Macaca fascicularis: one gene and its partner. The protein of the gene in region 1 interacts with the protein of each later gene in a pairwise test. Links are inferred from orthologs where the notes say so. Each region holds a gene or a part of one and is shown in the gene's direction. Other genes may lie near its edges.

The links.
Region 2: the proteins of CD63 (region 1) and TIMP1 interact in binary tests that used the Homo sapiens proteins (3 or more experiments, as listed by UniProt). The link is inferred for Macaca fascicularis from reciprocal best matches to the Homo sapiens genes CD63 and TIMP1.

What each region holds. Positions count from the first base shown.
Region 1 is NC_088385.1:62,512,049-62,516,181, reverse strand, and holds the start of CD63 (CD63 antigen), read left to right. Parts: upstream 1-1,274; 5' UTR 1,275-1,327; intron 1,328-1,927; 5' UTR 1,928-1,938; coding exon 1,939-2,004; intron 2,005-2,942; coding exon 2,943-3,131; intron 3,132-3,322; coding exon 3,323-3,397; intron 3,398-3,491; coding exon 3,492-3,587; intron 3,588-4,018; coding exon 4,019-4,133. UniProt on the Homo sapiens protein: Functions as a cell surface receptor for TIMP1 and plays a role in the activation of cellular signaling cascades. Plays a role in the activation of ITGB1 and integrin signaling, leading to the activation of AKT, FAK/PTK2 and MAP kinases.
Region 2 is NC_088395.1:47,678,832-47,683,106, forward strand, and holds the start of TIMP1 (metalloproteinase inhibitor 1), read left to right. Parts: upstream 1-1,427; 5' UTR 1,428-1,466; intron 1,467-2,401; 5' UTR 2,402-2,409; coding exon 2,410-2,530; intron 2,531-3,269; coding exon 3,270-3,349; intron 3,350-3,538; coding exon 3,539-3,665; intron 3,666-3,873; coding exon 3,874-3,998; intron 3,999-4,275. UniProt on the Homo sapiens protein: Metalloproteinase inhibitor that functions by forming one to one complexes with target metalloproteinases, such as collagenases, and irreversibly inactivates them by binding to their catalytic zinc cofactor.

The sequences.
Region 1 (4,133 bases):
GGAACCTGACGAATACTCCTTTCTTCAGCTCTCCACTCCTCCTCCACTCCTGCCCGCCATGGTCAGGAAGAGCAAGGTCCGGAATGGGCTTGGTGTGTCCCACAGGAAGGCCGTGATCCTGGAAGATGCTTCTCAGCCCAGCCCGGATCTCCTTCCTTTTGCTCTAGAGACTTCTTTCCTTCTTTGTGTACACACATACACCAAGACTCAGGAAGTGGTTCTTGAGGCAGGACCCTAAGAGCCCAAGGAGTGGGTCCGAGGCTGGAGGTGTGGGGGTGTGACGACCGGTCCCACTTTCTGGCCTGTTCAGATCAGCTCCTTCTGGAGACTACCCCTGGCACACAAGGGAGGGAGGCAGCTTGACCCCCTAGCCCGCTTCCAGCCCTCACCTGGCTTTGTCTTCTGGGATAAGACGAGGAAATCCAGAGGATGTAAGCCTCTACCTTCGTGTCTTCCCCCAAACCCTCGCTATCACAGACGATGCAGGAGCTGTCCGGGAGTTGGGAGGGCAGACCTTGTCAATCCTCCCCCAGAGGGCGGGACCCGACGCGGACGTGTATTGATTGACTGGGTAGCGTGGCTTCGGGGAAGGGCTTCCTCCCCTTTTCTCAGACTAGGAACCCTGGAAAATGGAGAAGCTATGCTAATATAGGGGGGTCAGAAATCCCCACTCTAGAATGCGCTAGAATGTTGGGAGACACCCAGGATGTGAGGCCAGGGACTTTCTGGAACTGTTGGTTCTGGCCCCACCCGACCCCAGGCAGTCCCCAGCTGTCTGCACAGTCGGATGGGGAGGGGGCTTGCACAGAGTTGGAGCCAGAGGAGAGAGCTGGGCTACTGGAGAAGGATGGGGAAACCTCTCTCAGACCACCTTGTCACCCGGCCTCAGCTCTCCGCCCCGGCGCTCAGAGGATAACTCTCACCTAGCTCGTCCGCTTCTCTAAACCAGAGTGACCCAGGCTGCGCTCCGCCCTGCTCTCCTACCCCGAGTTGGCACGGAGGCGGGGCGCCAGAGGGGGGCCCCAGGCGCCCCGAGGTCTTGCCTTTTCGGCTCTCCGTTTGCGGGGGGTGGGCGCCTTCTTCCGGGTAGGGGCCACGTGGCCCTGGCCGGGCGGGGGGCTCGGCCCACCCCGCGCCGGGCCCAGTGACTCAGGCCGCAGCTGTTCCCGCGTCACATGAGGGAGGCCGGCGGCCACTGGGCGGGGGAGGGGACCGTGGCTGGAGCCCGGGGCGGGGCCGCGCGGCAGGCGGGGCGGGAGCCGGGGGGCGCAGCTAGAGAGCCCCGGAGCCGCGGCGGGAGAGGAGCGCGCAGCCTTGGGGAGCCCAGGTGAGGCCGCGGGGCCCCGGCAGACTTCGGCGCGGGCTGGGAGAGACCACCGGCGGTCCCTTCCTCCAGGGCTCGCCCCAGGCCCGCGGAGACTCGCCCGGCGCTCTCCAGCCGCCCTCGAGCAACTTTGATTCGAACTTCCCTGGGCCCGGGCAGGGTGTGGCGGGGGTGCCGGCCGCACCTTTTTTTTTTTTTGGTGGGCGGGAGGTCAGAGCCCAGGGGAAAGCGACTGGGGCAGGGGTCGGGGTTGGGCTGAAGACCGTTTCTCCGGGCTGGGTGTTGGGTGGGGAGAGGGTGTTTGACGCCTGGAGACTGAAGGGCCGAGGGTCGGCGTCAGGCTCGAGCCCCTACCGGCGCCCTCGGATCTATCCTGGGCCCCAGAGGCGGCGGGGCGGGGTCCGGGCTTCGCGGCGGTCGCCCCCACCCCTCTCCTGCGGGTAGAGAGGGGGCTGGGAGACGTGGTTCCGACCGCGGGTTTCCGGGTGGGAGGGGCCGGGAATCGGGGCCGTGTAGGGAAGCCCTCGAGGGCCGGCCAGGAGCCCGGAAACCGAGGTCCCCCTTCGGCCAGTTTTAATCCCCCCGCCCTCCTCTCTGCCCCAGGCCCGGCAGCCATGGCGGTGGAAGGAGGAATGAAATGTGTGAAGTTCTTGCTCTACGTCCTCCTGCTGGCCTTTTGCGTGAGTGGCGAGGGGTCCTGGGGGGCGCGCCGGCAGGGTGCGGGGAGACCTGGCTCCACAGTGGTGAGGGCTGAGGGAATAAGAATTAAGGCAGCTGGAGACCAGATGTGGAAAGAAAGCCAGGGAAAGACAGCGCGGCCACTCCCTCCTCCAGTTTTCCTGGACACCTGAGGCTTGTTTCCACCGAGAATGGCCATCCTGGGTGTGCAGCAACCCCTACCCCCATCCCTCCTTCCTGGCCCTTCCTGTCTGGTGACCCAACCACTTGTGATATGGGGCAGTGGGGCAACCAGCCAACCGCCTGATGCTATCGCCACGAGGCTTCCCTTCGCTCTCCCTTCTCCCCTCTCTTCCTCCCCAACCCCCTCATCCCTCTCCAGTCCCTCTCCCCCTTTCTGTCCTCCCAGCGCTTGGGAGCGAGGAAGGGCTCTGCCCACCTCAATTTGCTCCTGTCCTGGGCTCCTGGCTTGAGAGGCTACTGTTTGTCTAGGGAGGGGCACATCACTCTTGCCGCCTTTTCCTCTTCCCTTCTCCTGGCTTAACTGGCCAGAGGAACCTTAGTCACAGCTGATGCGCGTGGGGTGTGCACTGGAGGATAGTGAGGGAGCAGTTCTGGGAGAGAATTGAGCTGGGAGTACTGGAGGCCCGTAGAAAGCATTATTCTAGGTCAGAAATACGTGCCTTGGGGTCAAGGCTTTCTGGGAGGTCTTTGAATTTGGTCACGTCCCTGATTGAAGAGCTGGGAGGGGATCAAGGGAGATGGGGGCAGGAAAGGATGGGTCATCCCCCTTACCTACAGCCAAAGAAGTTCCCTGGAGGTGTGAGAATCTCTCCTCCGGATGGGGTCATGTCTGTGTCCTAGGTGTACCCCTTGCCCTCCACCATGGAGGACCACTGTGTTGTGGATCAGGCCTAATTCTCACCTGCTTTCCTCTTAGGCCTGTGCAGTGGGACTGATTGCTGTGGGTGTCGGGGCACAGCTTGTCCTGAGTCAGACCATAATCCAGGGGGCTACCCCTGGCTCTCTGTTGCCTGTGGTCATCATCGCAGTGGGTGTCTTCCTCTTCCTCGTGGCCTTTGTGGGCTGCTGCGGGGCCTGCAAGGAGAACTATTGTCTTATGATCACGGTGAGTGGGAGGCGGGACTAACATGGGTGGTCTGGGACTGCCAGAGCAACTTGGTTGGTGCTCAGGAAGGTGGGTGAGGTGAGGTGGGTGAGTGAGGAAGACCTTTGTGAGTGTCCAGGGACCGGCTATGCCAGAACGGGCCCCTGTAATGCATAGACTCCAAACCTGACTCCTGTCCTTTGCTCCTGCAGTTTGCCATCTTTCTGTCTCTCATCATGTTGGTGGAGGTGGCCGCAGCCATTGCTGGCTATGTGTTTAGAGATAAGGTAAGCAGGGAATAATGGGAAGGGCCTGCCTCAGCCTGGTCTGGGACCCAGGTGCTTGAATTCTGACGGCAACAGTGCTCCTCCGTACCCTCAGGTGATGTCAGAGTTTAATAACAACTTCCGGCAGCAGATGGAGAATTACCCGAAAAACAACCACACTGCTTCGATCCTGGACAGGATGCAGGCAGATGTGAGTGGGGTTGCTGGGAGCAGGGGTGATGGGAATAGAGAATTCTCATCTCCAAGGCTGGGTGTGGTGGCTCACACCTGTAATCTCAGCACTTTTGGAGGCCGAGGTGGGCAGATCACCTGAGGTCAGAAGTTTGAGACTAGCCTGGCCAACATGGCAAAACCCTTTCTCTACTAAAAATACAAAAATTAGCCAGGTGTGGTGGTGAGTGCCTGTAATCCCAGCTACTCAGGAGGGTGAGGCAGGAGAATCGCTTGAACCCAGAAGGCAGAGGTTGCAGTGAGCCGAGATCAAGCCACCACACTCCAGTCTGGGCAACAGAGCAAGTCTGTCTCAAAAAAAAAAAAAAAAAAAAAGAATTCTCATCTCATCTCCATATTGATGGTGAAGGTTCACTTAACTCCCTTCTCCATATTTCTTCCCTACCCCAGTTTAAGTGCTGTGGGGCTGCTAACTACACAGATTGGGAGAAAATCCCTTCCATGTCGAAGAACCGAGTCCCTGACTCCTGCTGCATTAATGTCACTGTGGGCTGTGGGATTAATT
Region 2 (4,275 bases), on another chromosome or scaffold:
CTTTTAGTGTCCCCATCAACCAAATAGTGTACATTGTACCCATTAGGCAATTTCTTATTCCTCACCTTCCTCCCACCCAGAACAGTGCTGGATAGGCAGTAAGCACTCCGTAAGGGCTGCTGGTAGTTTTTGTTGTGTTCTTGTTATTAGGCTAATATCCCTGAGTTAATCAAACTTAATTAGCAAGGGAGTATGGCGAGTGAATGAGATAATTTATACAAATACTTTAGCACGTAGTATACAGAAAGTGCTCAATAAGCGGCTGCCATCATCACTACAATTATTATTATTGATCTATCCTCCTCGAATTAAGGGTGTTAATCAGAACCCCAGGGAAGATTCCTGCACTGTCAAAAAGCTGGTGGGCAAGGATTGCCCCACCCCACCCTCCACCAGGGGTATAGGTCCGTGGGGAAGGGGCAGGGCAGGATGGGGTGGGGACTAGTTTTCTACTGACCCACTCACTTGTTTCTTTCACCTTCATTCATGGCCACCCCCTTCCCAATGCTCATTCATTCACCCGCACCATTCCCTGCTTGCTAGGATGGTGCCACTCCTGAGTTACGATCCTGGTGCCAGGTAGCCTCAGTTCGAATCCTGGCCATGTCCTGTGATCTTGGGAAAATTCTTCAGTTCCTCTATACCCCATATTTCCTCATCTGTAAAATGGGAATAATAACTGGTACCCATCTCAGAGATTTGTTGTGAGCTCTGAGTGAGATAAACTATGCTGAGTGCCTGGTATACAGTCGGTGCTATATAAATGCCGGCTATTTGCCTGTGTTTTTTGAGACCCTGGCTTTGGTTCCTGGCCACCTGAGTTCCAGTCTCAGTTCTGCCATGTACTGACTCTATGATCCTGGATAAGTCACTTAACCACTCCATGCCTCAGTTTCCCCATTTTGTGTTCCTCCCCATTCACCTGCCTTATCTCCCTCCACTGCTGCTATTTAATTTGTTTCCTCTCTGCCACCCCTCACCAGCATGTCAGACATACAAAACAAGGGATTTTTGTGTGCTTGGCACACAGTAGATGCACAATAAATGTTGAAGGGCTGAACTCATTTGGGTTTGAGCCATAGGGAGCTTGGGGGATGTGGGTGATTGGATAGATTCTGGAGACTTTAGGGGACTGGGCTGGGGGGAATGCGGCCTCTAAGCTCTCCGCTGAGGCGTCTTGGAAGGAATAGTGACTGACGTGGAGGTGGGGGAGGGGGCTGGCCCGGGCGAGGCCCAGGGAGAGGGAGAGGAGGGGGGTGGGAGAGGAGGAGGGTGTATCTCCTTTCGTCGGCCCGCCCCTTGGCTTCTGCACTGATGGTGGGTGGATGAGTAATGCATCCAGGAAGCCTGGAGGCCTGTGGTTTCCGCACCCGCTGCCACCCCCGCCCCTAGCGTGGACATTTATCCTCTAGCGCTCAGGCCCTGCCGCCATCGCCGCAGATCCAGTGCCCAGAGAGACACGAGAGGTAAGCAGGGCCCGGGATGGCCCAGCAGGAACCGGGGCTGGGCCGCAGCTTGGGTGCTGGCCACCAGGCCCGTGCACTCCCGTGCTAGATGCCTGTCTACTCAGCTTGGCCTGCGGGTACCAGGATCCTGGGCTAGTCTAGGGGGAAGAGGGTCGGAGGCTGGAACCGCTTTCCCAACCCTGAGGCTCCAAACTCCCTAGAACCCCTGACATCCATCCCCAACTCTCCCAAACCCATGACCCCCTAGTATCACAAATGCTTTCCAAATCCCCCGCAAATCCCTTCATCCAGCACTTTCCCTCATCGCCTCCTAAATCCCCACTGCTAACCCCTGCAGCTCCCTGAACTCCCCCATCTCCCCAATCCCCAGTTTCCCAGCTCCCCAGCTCCCAAACTTCTTTTGCCCTCAGATTCCTCAAGTATCACCATTGCCTTAAGCCCCCAAATTCCCCCAACCCCTTCAACCTCCAAACTCCCCCAGCTCCCCAAATCCCCAACCTCCTCCAAATTCCTCAACCTCCCTAAATTCCCCCAGCCCCCTATATCTCTTAATACACACAACCCCTAAACTCTGCCTCCTCCAAACCCCTCCAGCCCCCAATCCCAAATTCCTCACCCCCAAACTCCTCAACCTCCAGAATTCCCCAATCCCCTCATTCCTCAAACTTCCTTAGCTCCCTTCTCCCCCAAGTGCCACAGCTCCATAACCCCGCAACTCAGTCCCTCAATAATTTAAACTTTCCCAACTCTCTAAACCCTAAATTCCTCTGGGCTCCCCAATCCCCTTAAAATCCCCAAGCTTCCCAACCCCTGAAGCCCAAATCCAGTCCCCTAATCCCCCCATAGGCTGCCCCGGGGCAGGATGGGGTGGATGACCTGCCCAGGTCAGCAGATCAGCTGGGCTGGGGCCTGCCTGACATCCCTCTTCCCCACAGAACCCACCATGGCCCCCTTTGAGCCCCTGGCTTCCGGCATCCTGTTGTTGCTGTGGCTGATAGCCCCCAGCAGGGCCTGCACCTGTGTCCTACCCCACCCACAGACGGCCTTCTGCAATTCCGACCTCGGTGAGTCCTCACCCCACTCAGCCCACACACTCTGCCTTGGTTTCCCTCTCAGTCCGGTGGGGCTCACGATGGCACTTACCTCTAGAATGATTCCACTCGCCCCTGCTCTTCCTCTGCTTTAGCCACATTGGCATCCTCACACTTTCTTGAGTACTCCGTGCCCAAGCCCACCACAGGACCTGTGTGCTGGCTGCTCCCTCTGCCTGGTACACTTTCCCCCCAGGTATCCACATGGGTGGCTGCCTCAAATGTCACCTTCTCAGGATGGCCTTCCCTGGCCATCTTGTTTAAAATTTTAACCCCTGCCCCTTAGTACTCCTGATTTCCTGTTAAAGAGAAAAATATTCGGTGATAGTTGTTATAGCACAGTAAGGAAGACCATATTCAGGACAATGGTGATGGGTACAGGAACCACTGCAATGGGATCTTGCTGTCTGGGAGAGAGATTGGGCTCAACACTGAATATAGCATGGGCCAGTGGGAATGTCTGGGCACTCCCAAATATTTGAGGAGTAAATGAACAAATGAATAGATGAAAATGGCTTAAGCAGTGCCTGGCGAAGAGAGACACTCAACATACAGATGAATCAATAAACAAATGTGTAAATCACTTAGTGTGCTGTCTGGCATCCAATAACCCCTATTTATGTATGCACGTTGCTGGTATTATGATGATGATGATCTTATTTTTATTGGCTCATGCAGTCCATTTGACTCATATTTCCCTCCTCTCCTGCAGTCATCAGGGCCAAGTTCGTGGGGACACCAGAAGTCAACCAGACCACCTTATACCAGCGTTATGAGATCAAGATGACCAAGGTATCCCCTGCTCCCGCCCCTTTCCCAGCATTTTCTAACATCTTCCTCCTGGTCAAAACAGAAACTTCTGGCCACTGGTTGGTGCAAGAAAGTTGGCTGTGATCTTGGGATGCTATGTGACTTCAGGGAAGAACCTGGAGTGGGAGGATTATGTCAGTAAAAGAGACACTTCCCCTCATCCATCAACAGATGTATAAAGGGTTCCAGGCCTTAGGGGATGCCGCTGACATCCGGTTCGTCTACACCCCCGCCATGGAGAGTGTCTGCGGATACTTCCACAGGTCCCACAACCGCAGCGAGGAGTTTCTCATTGCTGGTGAGGCACCGTCCCCGCGCCCTGTGCCACGCCAACCAGTCCCTGGGGCGCGGCCTAGCAACAGCGAGGGGGCGAGGCTCTGATGGGAATGGATCCACTGGAAATGGGTACCATCCCAATTTCAGCCTATCAGAAGGCCGGGCCTTTGCTAGCCTGGCGGCTCAGCCAATCAAAAGCTGCTTGTCGGTTACCCCCGCTTTCTCCTTAGGAAAACTGCAGGACGGACTCTTGCACATCACCACCTGCAGTTTCGTGGCTCCCTGGAACAGTCTGAGCTTAGCTCAGCGCCGGGGCTTCACCAAGACCTACACTGTTGGCTGTGAGGAATGCACAGTGAGTACCTGGACCCTGACCTCCAACGGGAGATCCTTCCGCGGCCCTTCCCTAAATCGTGGGCTTGTTCCTTGCTCCCTCTGGCTATTCTGTGTCCCTGTGGCTGCTCCCAAACTCTAAGGGCTGTCCCTGATCTCTCTTGCTATTTCCCCAAGCCCCAGACTGCTCCCTTACAAATTCTGGCTGCTCCCTTGCCCTGTGTCCAATACCGTGTGATCGCCTGTCCCTGGTCCCTCTAACTCTCCCTTGTTACTATTCTGTAATCCCACTCTCCGTT